2 linked regions of the Alligator mississippiensis genome follow. The protein of the gene in region 2 purifies or fractionates together with the protein of the main gene of each other region. This does not show direct contact. Links are inferred from orthologs where the notes say so. Each region holds a gene or a part of one and is shown on either strand. Other genes may lie near its edges.

What was found.
Region 1: the proteins of SKIL (region 2) and RNF111 purify together in Homo sapiens (affinity purification with western blotting; 3 studies listed by BioGRID). This does not show direct contact. The link is inferred for Alligator mississippiensis from reciprocal best matches to the Homo sapiens genes SKIL and RNF111.

What each region holds. Positions count from the first base shown.
Region 1 is NC_081834.1:38,758,399-38,765,654, reverse strand, and holds the start of RNF111 (E3 ubiquitin-protein ligase Arkadia), read left to right. Parts: upstream 1-4,155; 5' UTR 4,156-4,208; coding exon 4,209-4,240; intron 4,241-7,256. UniProt on the Homo sapiens protein: E3 ubiquitin-protein ligase. Required for mesoderm patterning during embryonic development. Acts as an enhancer of the transcriptional responses of the SMAD2/SMAD3 effectors, which are activated downstream of BMP.
Region 2 is NC_081830.1:74,864,760-74,871,666, forward strand, and holds the start of SKIL (ski-like protein), read left to right. Parts: upstream 1-3,904; 5' UTR 3,905-4,052; intron 4,053-4,352; 5' UTR 4,353-4,636; coding exon 4,637-5,743; intron 5,744-6,907. UniProt on the Homo sapiens protein: May have regulatory role in cell division or differentiation in response to extracellular signals.

The sequences.
Region 1 (7,256 bases), on a different chromosome or scaffold from region 2:
TGATGTTCATCAGCACAGAGGCACAATGGCTAATGGAAATGAGAGTATTGAAACAGAAGTTACCACAAGCAACATGTAGCAAAATTCAAAGAGCTTAATGAGCAGAAACTGGATACGCCTTATTCCAGAGCTATGAAAACTGACATGTGAAATTGTCCCAAAGATTTTAAAGAAATCTAACAAGTTGGGGACAGTTTTAAGAAATCTAACAAATCAAGGACTGACTAGAAAATAGCAAAAGTTGTAGCTGTATTTAAGAATGGGGAAAAAGAGTGATCACCTGAATCACTTTTTTCTCCATTCTTTGATCACTTTGTAAGCTGCTGCATGTGCCCCTGTGTGCCCCCCCATGCATCTGGGGCTCAGCCTTTGGGGGGGCTGAGCCCCCCCACCTTTCTGCCGCCTGTGCTTAAAGAGATTCCAGGCTTTCTCCATATCCATAAACTCTTCAGTCTAGGTAGTGTCACTAAGTAGTTCCCTTTGTTTACCAAGGTTTGCTTTTTTATGATTGAAACCCCTAGGTACAGACCAAGTTTTTAAAAGCTTCTCTTTAAATTTACAGTTAAATCAACTCATGAGCCAATGTTCTGTTCTATAGCTTGTTTATAATGTTGTCATTACCAGGGATCCAGGTTTTCTGTTTGCCATGGAAAAAATGCGTGTAACCCAGGCAGTACTCCAAAAGGTACCCCCTCTCCAATTGAAGGGATCAGAGCAGGTGCACAAGTGCTGTGGGAGGTGTAGGGATTCTCCTCCCACTATAGAGCAGAGCCAGACCACCACTGGGGACTTAACCACATACCTTTTAATGAGGGAACATAACAGGTATAATCAGGGGGTATAGTGGACACCACAATGCCCCAAGGGGCAGGATTCAACAAAGGTTAGACACTTACAGTCATTGGCAAAAGACAGGGGTAACAAAATATAAAACACAAACAACAGAGCAAACAATACTGGTTGGGGAAATATAAAAAAAGGCACAAAATACAAAATGTCAGAGGACAAAGAAATATAGGGCCTAGGTCACTGGAGGGGGAGAAAGGGGGGAAGATGCAGTGGCTCCTGTCTACTGCAAGAAGAATTTCTCCTTGTTAGCTCACTCACCCCAAGTCAACAAAGCTGGGACTTGAACTCAGTTCTCCCACAGGATAGGCAAGAACACTGCTATACAGCCACCACTGCTGGTATAGCTCCAAACTGCTAGGGGTCTTGACCTTCCTGGAGCCCCGGCCTCACATCAAGCTGTCTGGCCTCTTAGTGGAAGAGCTGGAAGCCAAGCTGGGACCCCTCAGGTTGCTGCTCAGATCCTCCTGCTAGCTACAGCCTCTTGTAGGGGGTCCTGGAGCCCAGCAGGATGCCTCTCTTGTCATCCACATACCGTGCTGCTGAGGGTCCCACTGCTGCCTGCAGGTCTTGCTCCTTCAGGCTCTTCTGGGGCAACTGCTTCCACCCTGCTGGCCCAGCTCTTCAAAGCTCCTTCCTCATAGTCCCTCACTGGTCTCCTCTTGAATCAGCTGTGCTGCCCCTTTTATCCCCCTCCAGGTGACCCAAGGGGCCAATCAGGGGACATGAGGGGTGAATCTCTGGGCCTGATTGGTGAGGAAAGGGAATCCCAAGTCCTCCAATGGTCTTTTACCCCTTCAAAACCCCATGGGCCAAATCATTACCAGATTGGTGAGGAAAGGGAATCCCAAGTCCTCCAATCATCTTTTGCCCTTTCAAAACCCCTGGGCTAGGTCACTGCCAGCTAGCCCGTCACATCTGGTAAAACCCAGATTTTCTCACTTCAAGGAGAAAAACCCTGATGCTGTGTGCATTCCTGGTGGAGGGGAAAGGGGGCAAATGCTCCCCAGATTTGTGTGCAGGGCAGATGCAGGCTGCCCACTGCCAGCTCAGGCTCCCTGCCCTGCTGCCCTTTCCCTGTGGTCTCCAGAGCCCAACAGGCGGGACCTGGCAAAGCAGGGCAGAATGGGGCTGGGAAGCTCAATGCCACCACCTGGAGTCCTGCACCACCATAGCGAGGAGCCCTCTGCCTCACCTGGCAGTAACAAGGTTGGTGGCATGGAGATGTGCTCCTTGCTGCTGCCGCTATGGCAGTGTGGAGCTCCTGGTAGTGGCACGAGCCTCCTCGCTCTGTACTGCTGTGCCAGGTCCCATGGAGGGGCGGGGGGGTGGAGCAGGGCGGGGAGCCTGTATCTGCCCCCTGTCCTCCAGTGGGCTCCACTCAGATAGTGCTGCCTGTGGGGAAGGGGGAGTTGTGTCCGTGCTCTGCTCTGCCACAGCAGCTGCTGCCTCCCATGGGTGGCAGCTAGGGTTTGGGCAGTGTTGTGGGGTACAGGAGGCTGTGGATCATCCCTGGTCCCGTAGCCCTGGCAGTTGGCAGGGTTGGGAGGCGCAGGGGGCTGTGGGTGGGGAAGGGAACCGGCAGGAGTGGGGGGCTGTGGGTTGGGAGTGAGGGGCATCAGCGGGGCCCAGGGGTTTGTGGGTCAGGAGTAAGGGACAATGGCATGGGCAGGCCACTGGCATATCAGGACTGCTCAGCACTACAAAGCAGTGTTTTGTGGGGGAGGATAGCTACAGCTGGACCTATGTCCTGGTGAGTGGAGGGGCATGGGGAGCTCTAATTTTCCATGATTAAAAAAACCCAAATCAAATGCCAAAATGTATAGATATTTAGAATTTATTATGATTGAGCACTGGTAGGCTTCCAAATTGCTTTAAAATTGTAAGCCTATCAATAAAACATTCAATTTATATATATATATATATATATATAGCGGTGTTTCATTTTAATCATGGAAAAATACAGATTGGGGGCTTTTTAATCAAAGAATTTGCAATATTTTATCAGAGAGTTTGCGATTTTTAAACCAAGAAAAGTGGGATTCCTGCTCATTACTTCCTGAAAGCAAGTCTACAACAGTATCACCTCTCGGCGGTGCTGCCGGAGCCCCTAGAACTTGCAGTATTGCCAACTCCCAGGATTTTTGGCGTTTGGGAATGTGACTTTCTTTTATATATATATCATTATATTGTATTTATAACAGTATATATAATATATAAAAGAAAGAGCCAAGTCTCGCATTCCCGAAGCGTAGACTTTAAGAACAAGGCCAACGATCCTGAGCGCTGGCAGCACTGAACTAGAGTAACCCAAAGGCTGATGCAGAGGGAAGCAGGCCCTGTGCCCCGCCCTGTCTCTGCATCACGCCCGATTCCTTATCGCGCTTGGCTTTGTCACCGGTCTTCCGATGTCCGAGCTACGTTTTATGCAGACAAGTTTCCAGCCCTGGGCACGGGAGAGGAGACGGCCAAGGTGAAGCAAGTGCTCCAGGAAAGACCAGGAACCAAAGAGCAGATTCAATTAATTCAGCATTTACTATTTCAAAAGCTTCTGCGCGGCTCACGCTCGGCCCGGCTCTGTGCCGCGACTGTTGCAGCACCCGGGGCCGGGCAATGGCCACCTCCGCCCGGGAGGGGGCGCTGCCGCGCAGGCCGCGCCCTTGCAGGCGCCGCCCGGGGGCGCTGGCGGAAGGAGGAGCGCTGTCCGGCGCGGCTGCGCTTTGCGGGCTGCCGTAAAGCAGCGGCAAGTGTCGCGCTGCCCCTGGGGAGGGAGGGAGGGAGCGGCGGCGGCGGCAGCGGCGGGGGCTGCGCAGCAAACAAAACCGCGAGCGCCCGGGCTGCGCCTGCCGCGGGTTGCTCTCGGCGCGGCCGGGAGGGCCGCGGGGCAGGGCGCGGGGCCTGGCGGGCCGACCCGATACCCGCCGCCCGAGCCGGCGCCGATGTGTGAGGTAGGTGGGGGCGGCTCCGCGCCGGGCCGGGCTCGGCCGCTGTCCGGGGCGCGGTGACGCAGCGGGGCCGGGAGCCCTTTCCTCCCCGGCCTCGGCGAGGCGAGGGGCTGCTCGGCCCCACGGGTCCCCGCCGAGGCAGCGCCTGCCGCCCGCGGGGCCCTTCGTGCGCCTCGGCCCCGCCGCAGTGTCCTTCAGCCGGGCCGCGGGGGGGGCCCTGGGGCTGCACCTGTTGAAATCGGGGTCTGGTCCTGCCTTAACGCGAGAGCAGGCGTCTCCCCGGGCCCTGCCCGACAGGGTCCTTGACAGCTGTGGAAGGAGGGGAGGAAATTGTGGTGCCAGAGAGGGGGAGTCGCCAGCCGGCTCCGCTGCTGCGCCGCTCCCTGTGCTTTCCTGTTTGCTGCTACGAGGGTCTTTATGGGAAAGAAGCCTTCAGCCACCACTAAAAGGTGAGCTGCTTCCTTAACCTTCACCTTAAGCTGGAGCGTCTTTGGTTTAAAGAGCTGCCCCACTTCTTGTGACCAAGTCCTGGATGAACCAAAGCAAAAGTCACTCATCCCAAGCTGGCACTTGGTGGTCAGTGACTGGCTGTAACGGAAAGTGATAAAGATTTCCACTGAGCTGTTGTCCAAACTGGGGGGGGCTCGTATTAAATCCTTCTTTTAAAGAAAAAAATCACATGGGTTACCTCCTTGCAACAAATAGAGGTTATGTATTTCATTTCAATATGAGGGCCTATGGAAGTGTTAACCGCAGTGCTTCACAACCAAGTCACAGTTGAACTCTCCTGGAAGGTATTTATAGACGCTCGTACTGTGGCATTGGGTGAGGTCTGAGGCAGAATGACTGACTTGCTTGGAGTCATCATGGTTTCAGTTATCCTTTCAATTATCACTGCTAGTGAGTATGGTTTGTGTGTCTATGAAATGACTTGACAGAATTGCATCTCAATGTCATCATGAGGAGTACAGTTTCTGCTTTTTCGTGAAGATGCATGCAGCAGCAAAGAGTTGTCTGCAAACTGAAGAATATCAGCACAACACCAGTATATATGCTCTTTTTTTTTTGTTTTTATCTGATAGTTGTGTTACTACAGCAGCTACGTTAGAAACATTTTGCTGAAGTGTTAAATTGGGGGTTAACCTAAAGCTTCAATAAGGTAAATTATCTTGTAAGGCTACAACTCCTTGATCCTAAGTTTACTATGTTTGCCTTGGAGTAATGTTCCTAGTTACCAAAAAATGATGCCTGCAGCTTTACTGCTGAACAAATCGCAATTTATGTAACAGGCTGAGTTTAACCCAAGGCTGAAACTAAGCACGCTAAGGATATTTCTGGAGTGATTGTCTCAATGTTCATGTACTCTCTTGTTTTGTCAAGTACATTTTTACGTGCATCCATGCTGCAGAGCATGCTCTGTATGCAGGTGGCCATGTACACATTGTTCTATATTGAAGCATTGGTTGTTACAGTTGCTAAGGCAGTATTGAACATTTTTTATTACTCCCTACAGTAGAGAGATGAATTCATAGTGTATCATAGGAGAACATGTCTGTCCTTCCTGGGGCCCTGTACTGAAATGTTCCTTGCCTGCCAGCACATCTAGCCAAGGTGTTTCTGGCTCTATACGCTTTGCTTCATGTTCCTTCCAGCTGGAGCCACGCCACAGATTCAACACCAGAGGAAGAGCTCTTCCTGCTTGTCACTGTGTATTGTTATTGCATGATACCAAGAGAGGGTGCTTTGAAACAGTGGTGGAAATTCTGTAGCAGTTCTTGTTCTCTAGAATAGAGGTGGCTAACCCTGGCATACATGCCACAAGTGGCATGGCCAGCTGGTGCATATGGCATGTGGTAGATTGCACAGGAGACAGAAAGCAGACCAGGCAGTGGAAGGGGATTAGTTTCAGACTTGGGGAGGGTGTGGGGCTAACTTGTGGCATGTATGACAAAAAGGTTGGCCCTTGCTGTGCTAATGTTGTGGCAGATTTGTGGTTGGATTCCGCCCTAATGCAGTTGTGGTACTTGATGCTTGCTGACATCAGCTGGAAATTCCCCCATGCATAGACAGGTATTCTTGGTACAGGACATACAGCACTCTTGGACTGTATTATTATGCTGATCTTTGATAACTAGTGGTGGCTACTGAATTTGTGCATTAGAAAGCATGCATTTGCAGAGGCACATGTGGAGTATGTCAGGACGTGAAATGAGGCATTGCTGGTCCAGAAGTGGTTTGCTGTAGCAACCTTGGGCAGCTGCAGGCCTGTGGTTAATCAGTCTAATGTTGGCAAGCCAACTTTTCAGGTTGGGCTAGCAGATGTTTGAGGTGTTTGAACACTGTGTTCACCCACAGATAAGTGTACTGGTTATACCCACTGGAATGATAACTAAAATTATCTTCCCAGATTGTGTACTGTGGTCATTAATGGCACTTGTGATGGGCAAATGTGGGGGGGACGGGACATAAATCCCAAATGGAAAGTGTGGATTGTTCTGCATCTCTATAGATAGACTTGAGATAAATGAGATCTGATATTAACTTGTTGAGTAACTAGGGACTTAGAAAAATATGTTTAGGGTTTGTATACCCACTCTTCTAGGGCACCCTGCCATGGCTTTCCCATGAGGACCTAGGAAAAGAAGGTTTAATTGCATACTTTACAGTTGCAGAGTGGTAGTGTAGTGTACACTTTAAAGGCTGTCAAGGCAGGAAGGTGTTGCCTACCAAACCATTGACAAAATGCAATCTGCATTATTTTGACATTCTGTGCAAAGCCAATGGTGTAAAGAGTCTTGAGTAACTGTTTTAACCAGAGGGTGCATTTGTCTTCACTGGGGCTGAGTTAAAGCAAGCAAGGGACTTCAGGGATGCCTTATTTACATATATGCATTGCAGGGGGTTGTGAATATGATGATGCTGTGTTGTGTTAAGTTGTAATGTACATGGTAAGGTTTGCTAAACAATTTACAGCGTTGTTATGGTTTTATGATATTGAATTTACATGGATTAAAATTCTTTATTAAAATGTTTGTACAGAACTTAGTGCTACTTCTTTTTCTGAAGCATGTGTGCCAGCGCATAGTGCACTAAAATATTTTATTAATAAAACATATCCAGTACTTTTAGAAAAAACCAGTGTGGGCATCCCAACCATGTGTAAACATATAGGTACAGAATGAGTGAGCCAGAATGTAGAACAGGCTGAGAAAGGAATGGAGTTACTCAGCATCCCCCTTCTCCAGTATCAACATTGACTGGAGAAGTGCTTGGAGAAGACTCCGCCCTTTTGTTCTAAGGTTGAAGTCTCCCAGACTGCAGGTTTCTACTGTAACTTGTCCTTTTGTTCAACCACTGAATGTATTTAAGGAACTCTGACAAGTCTGTTTTACTGCTTGGTCCTCTTTTAGACTTAATCTTTCTCTTTAGTATTCCAGATAATCATCTGGCTTGCCAAATATATTA
Region 2 (6,907 bases):
GTCAATAAGCAATGCCTGAAGAAAGTTAAGACAGACCAATTAAAGTGTGCAGTCAACGTGTATAAGTTAAAAAACATTGAACTAATTTGTGGATAATCTTGTTCGAGTCTGCCCTGCACCTCCTATGGACAAACCAGGCACTTGTCCAGGGCAGCAGCATGGAAATGGCAGCATTTCTAGCACTGATTAGTGATGATCAGCTTCCAATTAGTTGGCATGGTTAATTATGGAAATATGGAGGCAAAAATCTATTTTGTCTGGGGACAGCTCTGCAGTCCAGAATAAACTGACCTTTATTTGCTGTAGACCCTTTGTCTCTGAATAAGAGTATACACAGAGAGGTTTAAAGTATCCAGATTTTTGTAGCCGCATTAGTCTTGAGGAAAAGATAATCAGGACTCATAGTAGAGATGATATCTTTTATTAGACCAACAAGATGTTTTGCAAAAAAAAATAAAAATCTTTAATTGCCTGCTTTTGGGTACAAACACCCTTCGTCAGGCATTGGAGAAAAGATTGTTAAAGTTCTCCTGGGTAGAAATGAAAGTTCATATTTCATAGGATTTCACAGAGAGGTCAATAGATGGAAAACTCCTCTGGGCAGTCAGTTCATAGAGAGGTTTAAAGCACTTTTAATTCATATGCACTTGATGTCTTATCTTTAGTTAATTTGCTTTTGACATCTGTCCACAGTCTTAAGATGGAATATTAACTAAACCATTTTAAGAAGGTAGACTTACTGCGGCAGACTAGGTGTCACCTGAATATGTAGTTGTTGTAGTTTAAACTACCTGCTTCTATAGTGCTATAATCTTGAATGAAACAAATTTAAAGTTGCAATAGCTTAGTTCTTTACCTGTTTCTCAGTCCACTCCTAGTGGACAGCCCATAACAGACAATATAGCCAAAAGTACAAAGAAAGGGGACAGGGCCAAAATCCTAGCACCATTGGATGAGTAAAGTGGGGGTGGGGGAAGAGTGACAATGCCTGAAATAAAATGAATTGGTACAGTGGGTATAAACTGTGAAGGGTCTTGATAGAGTGGGGGCAAGACATCTTCTGTCCTGCAGCTGAGAAAAACAAAGTATTGTACCACCCTAATTAAATGAGCTATAGTACATTGACTGAATAAAACAACTAACTAACCATATTTTGCTCCTTCTTCCCCTTCGTGATTAATTTTTGTTCACTTTTTGAACTTCCTTCCATTGGTAGGTACAGCCTGAAAACTGCAAGGTAAATTAGTGAAATGAGTTTTGGGGCATTATAACACCCTTCTGGGTACTGGTACCCCAACACCAGACTTTCCTCTACTCCCAGCCCCACTTCACCTCTGGTTTTTCTCCTGCCACACCTTTGATGCTACTTGGTTGTAGCTGAGAGAGGCAGTCCCTGGTATCAGGGGTAACTGCTAGTTGCCCCATTGAGCCTGTACTCCCCTTCAAGTGTTTCCCTTTTAAGGGCAGACAAGGTTCCCTTTTAAGGGAGCATTTCCAAGGCTTCTGAGGACTTGTCAGACCCTCTGCTGTCATAATCATGGTCCCCTTTTTCTCTGGCTACATGCCCAGCCTTGGTCTACCATTTAAGATCTCAACTGCCAGTTATCAGCCCTCCTAGGGAGCCCTACCTTGGCAGTTGAAAATCTCAGCACCAGCCTCCACTTGTTTAGCTCAGGGCCAGCTCTTAGGGCAAGTAGCAGGGGAATGCCACCCAGGCATCCCTGTTCATGGCCTCCTCCACTCCCTGTAGCCACAACTCAGTCCTGCAGTACAAACAACAAAAACATGAGACAGCTGCTTCATAACCCAAATAGTTTCCTTCTCAGGATAAATGTTGCCTGTAGGCCCTAACTCTTGCAAGAGACTCCTCCACTTCCCCTGGGTGGCCAGCCTCTAATAGCTGCCCACTCCAAAGAGCTTCTCCCTATTGCAGGCAGAAGCTTCCCTTATGTTGTCAGACTGGACTAATACTCCCCAGCCCAGTCTCTTTTCAGGTACTGGACAGGGCCTTCTGCACCAGGTACAGCTAATCCCTTCATGAGCCACCTGGCCTTATCAGTCCTGGGCCCAGTCCACCTGGGTTGTTGCTCCTTACTGTCCTTCTTGGCCCAGGGTCCCTCATTCTCTCAGGCCTTTCTAGTGACAGGAGCAGGAATACCCTGTTACAGGCACCCTCACAATTTCCCACCACATTGTCTGCTGGACCTTGAAGAGGCAGAGAATCGCAGGGGGTTTAGAAAGGATGTTCTCTGCCCTGTGCTGATTATGTTTGCTCCAGTTCTCCCTTCACCTTCACTCCAATTCTGCTCTTCTCCTTTCCCCTGCCCTTAGTTTCTACCCGACTAAGTAAAGCCTCCCTGTAAGTAAAGACATCCCAGAAATAAATGAAAGGATCCTGATTCTTGCTACCATCACATGGCTCATTTTTTCTCTCTCATACTCCTTCCCTGCCCCGTGCCTGTTTGGTATGTTTAGACCCAGGTTCTCAACCTTTGTAGACTCAAGATAAAGGCCAAAGTGGAGTATGTGGAACTACAGAAGGATCTGCCATGGCTGAGTGAATGAGCAACCAAATAGCAGGTGAAATTCAGTATAATTAAGTGTAAAATGATGTACCTGGGTAAAAATAACCCTAACTATACTTATACAGTGATGGGCTTGACATTAGCTTCTACCACACAGGAAAGAGATCTGGGAATCATTGTGGACAGGTTGCTAAAAACATCAGCTGAGCTCAGCAGCCCTCAAAAAGGCAAACAAAATGTTAGGGCTCATTAAGAAGGGAATCACAAACAAAACAAAACATATGAGCATGCCCATTTATAAATCTATGGTGCGTCCACACCTTGAATACTGTGCCCAGTTCTTAAAAAGGATATAGAAGGACTCGACAAGGTCCAAAGAAGGGCAACGAGGATGATTAGCAGCATGGAGGGGCTACCGTAGGAGGGAGACTAAAGAGACCAGGCCTTTTCACTTTAGAAACTACAGGCCGTGATCAGAATTTACGAAATACTAAACAGTGAAGTCAATTTACAGTCTCTCGCAGTAGGAGAAAGAGGGGACACACAATAAAATGAATCCCCAAGACGTTGAAAATGGCCGTTTTCAACCTTCTTTCATTTGTGGGCCCCTCAAAATATTTTGAGCAGCAGCATGGCCCCCCTGAATGGCAAGCGTGGGTATTTGCACACTTTTGATTGATCACCCTCGCCTTTCACAGCCCCCTTAGGCGTAGTCTGTGGTGACCCCCCCCCAAGGGCGATAGACACGGGTTTCAACCAAGCCAGGGACGTTTCTTTTCGTCAGAGCAGGCCCTGGTGGAGCCGGGCGTGGGGGCAGCCACGGATTCACCGGGGACCGGACACCGAGCGAGGGGCAGGGCTCCCTGCACCCGACCAGGGGAAGAGGGACCCGGGGGGGGCCCACACAACCGGCTCCCTTCTCTCTGCCGCAGGGCTTTAAACACGTGGGAGCCCGGGCACGGCAGAGCGGGGAAATGGCAACTGCACGGTCACTGCTCTGAGCTCCCCGGGCTCCTCCGGCCCCGGCCGAGCAGCTGGGCCGCGTGCAGGAGGCCGGAAGCCCCCGCGGCGCCGGGCCCGGGGTTTCCCTGGGGCAGCGGCCCCCGCGGAAGGGCTCCCGGCGCCCGGCTGAGTCACTGCCGGCTCCGCCCCGTCTGCGCCCGGCCGCCGCCACAGGGAATCCCCGCGCTGGCCCGACCGGGCCGGGTGAGGCGAGGTGAGGCGAGGCGGGGCCGAGCCGGGCCAGGCCAGGCCAGGCCACGCCGCGCGTGGGCGTGGGCACGTCCCGTCCTGTCCTGAGGGGGGCGGGGGCCCGTGGGGGGAGGGGCGCCGCAGACGGGGGGCGGGGCGGGAGCGCGCACCCGGCGGGTTCGTGGCCGCGCGCCGCCGCCGCTGTCTGCGTCTCCGCAGTGAGGTCACGGGGAGGCGGCGGCGCGCGCGGGCGAGCGAGAGCGACACTGCCGAGGGAGGGAGGGAGGCCCCCGCGCGGCTCCGGAGGCAGCGGAGCCGAGCCCGCACAACGGAGAGGTAGGGCCCGGGGGTCGTGGGCGCCCGCCCGCGTGGGGGAGGGGATGTGGTGGCGTGGGGGAGGGGCCGGGCGGCGGCGCGGGGGGAGGGGCGCGTTCTGCGGGTGGGGGCGGGGCGGGTGTCCCGGGGGGAGGGGAGGGGGTGTCCCGCGGCCTGTGGAGGTTCCGGCCCTCCCTCCCCCCCTCGGGGAGGATGGGGGCAAACGGGCCGCCAGGCTGAGGGGGCAGCAGGGCCGGGTCTTGGCAGCCTGCTGGGAGACCGACTTTTCCCTTTCTCCTTATTTTTCCCCCCGCCTCCCAGATGAGTTGGTGCCTGATGGAGAAGCCAGCGGTCTGCGGGCAGGAAACGTGCCCTGCTGTCTGCGCTGCCTAAGAGCCCAGCAGGGCTTTGTAACACCGTCCCTTCCCACTCGGCTGCCCTCCCGGAGGCCCCGGCATAGCGCTGTCCTGGCCTGGCCTGGCCTGGCGTGGCATTGATTGCGTGTCTGAGGGAGTTCAGATAAGCCACAACTGACATTTGTTTGACAGAGAAGCTAGAGAGATGCGCCCTCACGGTTTCTTTCTGTAAACGCGTGGCGGTCGGCGATGGAAGGCCCGCAGGCAAACTTCCCCCTGCGCCCTGGCTCCGACCAGAAAGTGAATAGGATGCGGGAGGATGGGAGCCCTCCGGTAAAGAAAGCAATGACAGAAATGCATGGAAATACTGAGTTCCCAACTGGGGTGAGTAAGATGCCCACCATCAAGAAGGAAAACTTGGATGAATATGATGAAACTCCCATGGAGGTGGATAGAGAAAATGTCAAGTCAGACAGCGCTGCTGTATCTGAGCGCCTGAGTTTAAACCCTGGTTTGAAACACACCTTGGCACAGTTCCACTTAAGTAGCCAGAGTTCGCTGGGTGGACCAGCCGCTTTTTCCGCTCGCTATTCTGAGGAAAGCATGTCTCCCACCGTTTTCTTGCCTCTTCCATCGCCGCAGATACTTCCTGGCCCCTTGCTCGTCCCTTCAGATAGTTCCACGGAGCTCACTCAGACTACGCTGGAGGGGGAATCTATTTCCTGTTTTAAAGTTGGTGGAGAAAAGAGACTCTGCCTACCTCAAGTCTTGAATTCTGTGCTCCGAGACTTTTCCCTCCAACAAATTAATGCAGTTTGTGATGAATTGTACATATACTGTTCAAGATGCACTTCTGATCAGCTTCATATCCTAAAGGTATTGGGGATCCTTCCATTTAATGCCCCATCCTGCGGGTTGATCACGCTGACTGATGCGCAAAGATTATGCAATGCTTTACTACGTCCTCGCACTTTTCCTCAAAATGGCAGTCTGCTTCCTGCTAAAAACACGTTGGCTCAACTTAAAGAAACTGGCAGTGCCTTTGAAGTAGAGCATGAATGCTTGGGCAAGTGCCAGGGTTTGTTTGCACCTCAGTTCTATCTTCAGCCAGATGCTGCCTGTATCCAGTGTTTGGAGTGTTATGGAATGTTTTCTCCACAGACATTTGTGATGCATTCACATAGATCTCCTGATAAAAGGACCTGCCACTGGGGTTTTGAATCAGCCAAATGGCATTACTATCTTCACATTAACCAAAAATATTTAGGAACATCAGAAGAGAGGGAGCTGAAGCATCTCTTGGAGGAAATGAAGGAGAAATTTAGCGTGAAAAATCAGAAAAGAACTCAGTCCAAAGTAAGTCCAGTTTAATCTGATAAAACTTTTGGATTACTTGCTGTTAACAGATGAATACTTTTGAAGCATGCTGTTCATTTTCCTAAATACGAGCCAGTGTCAGATCAAGTATAAGCTAGGTGTGTGAATGATCTGCAGCATACATAATACAGTCTCAACAATTTCAATGTAAAAGGCTTAGTATTAAGAATTCTTTTCTAATTGGAGCTTTTGTCATAAACTGGTCAAAAACTTTCAGAACGTAGTTCTGTTTCTTTGGATGTTTTTGATAGTCATGTTGGTCTGAGACTAAAAGAAATGCAAAAGCTTTAGAACTCCTGGTTCAGAAATGATACCTTTTATTAGACCAACTAGGATAATAAAAGGTATCATTTCTGAACCAAGAGTTCTAGGTTTTTGCATTTCATTCTGTTTCTTTTGCTTTTTTAAACTGGCAATATCTGGAAAATGTAGAGGTTTCATGGACAGTCTGTCCTCCTGTTTGACCTACACATTGTGTGATTGTTTTATACCAAGCATGTTGCAATAAGCAGGAAGCTGCCTGAAAAATCAAGTGCTAGCTTAAACTGACAGACACGGACTTAAATTCCTGTGCGTATATGTACACATGGTATACAGCCAGTTATCTTGCTAAGCACCCAATAGCGTGTCATGATTTTTAAGGTGATAGTGCATTGATGCTGGTGAGAGGCCAAAGGCTGCTTTTAGAACGTGGTAATATCTTTTTTTTATGTTAAACATGTAATGTATAAGATATTACTTGAATTGCTTTTAAGGCCTTTCTCATATTACTGTGCAATGCACCTTGACACACCAATGAGAGAGACTGCCTATTTCAGTAACACTGTAAGTCTACACAGTATTTCACAAGCGTGAAGTTAGTTCTACTACAGTGATATCATAATCTAAATAAGACAAATAAATATAAGATAAATGTTAACTGTTTATAAAAGAAGAATGAGAAATGCTTGAAAAAGAGGTTATGAGGAAGGATTTGGAAAATAGAGGGTAACTAATGTGTTACTGATTTGAGGCATTGCTGTGGTAGTTGTGTTTGTAGATTATTAATAATTTTTCTGAGAAGAGCTTAAACTTTGAGTTTTTGGAATGTTTCCATTCCTCTTGGGGTTCTTTTTGTTGTTTGGAAGAATTTTCCTGTTCACT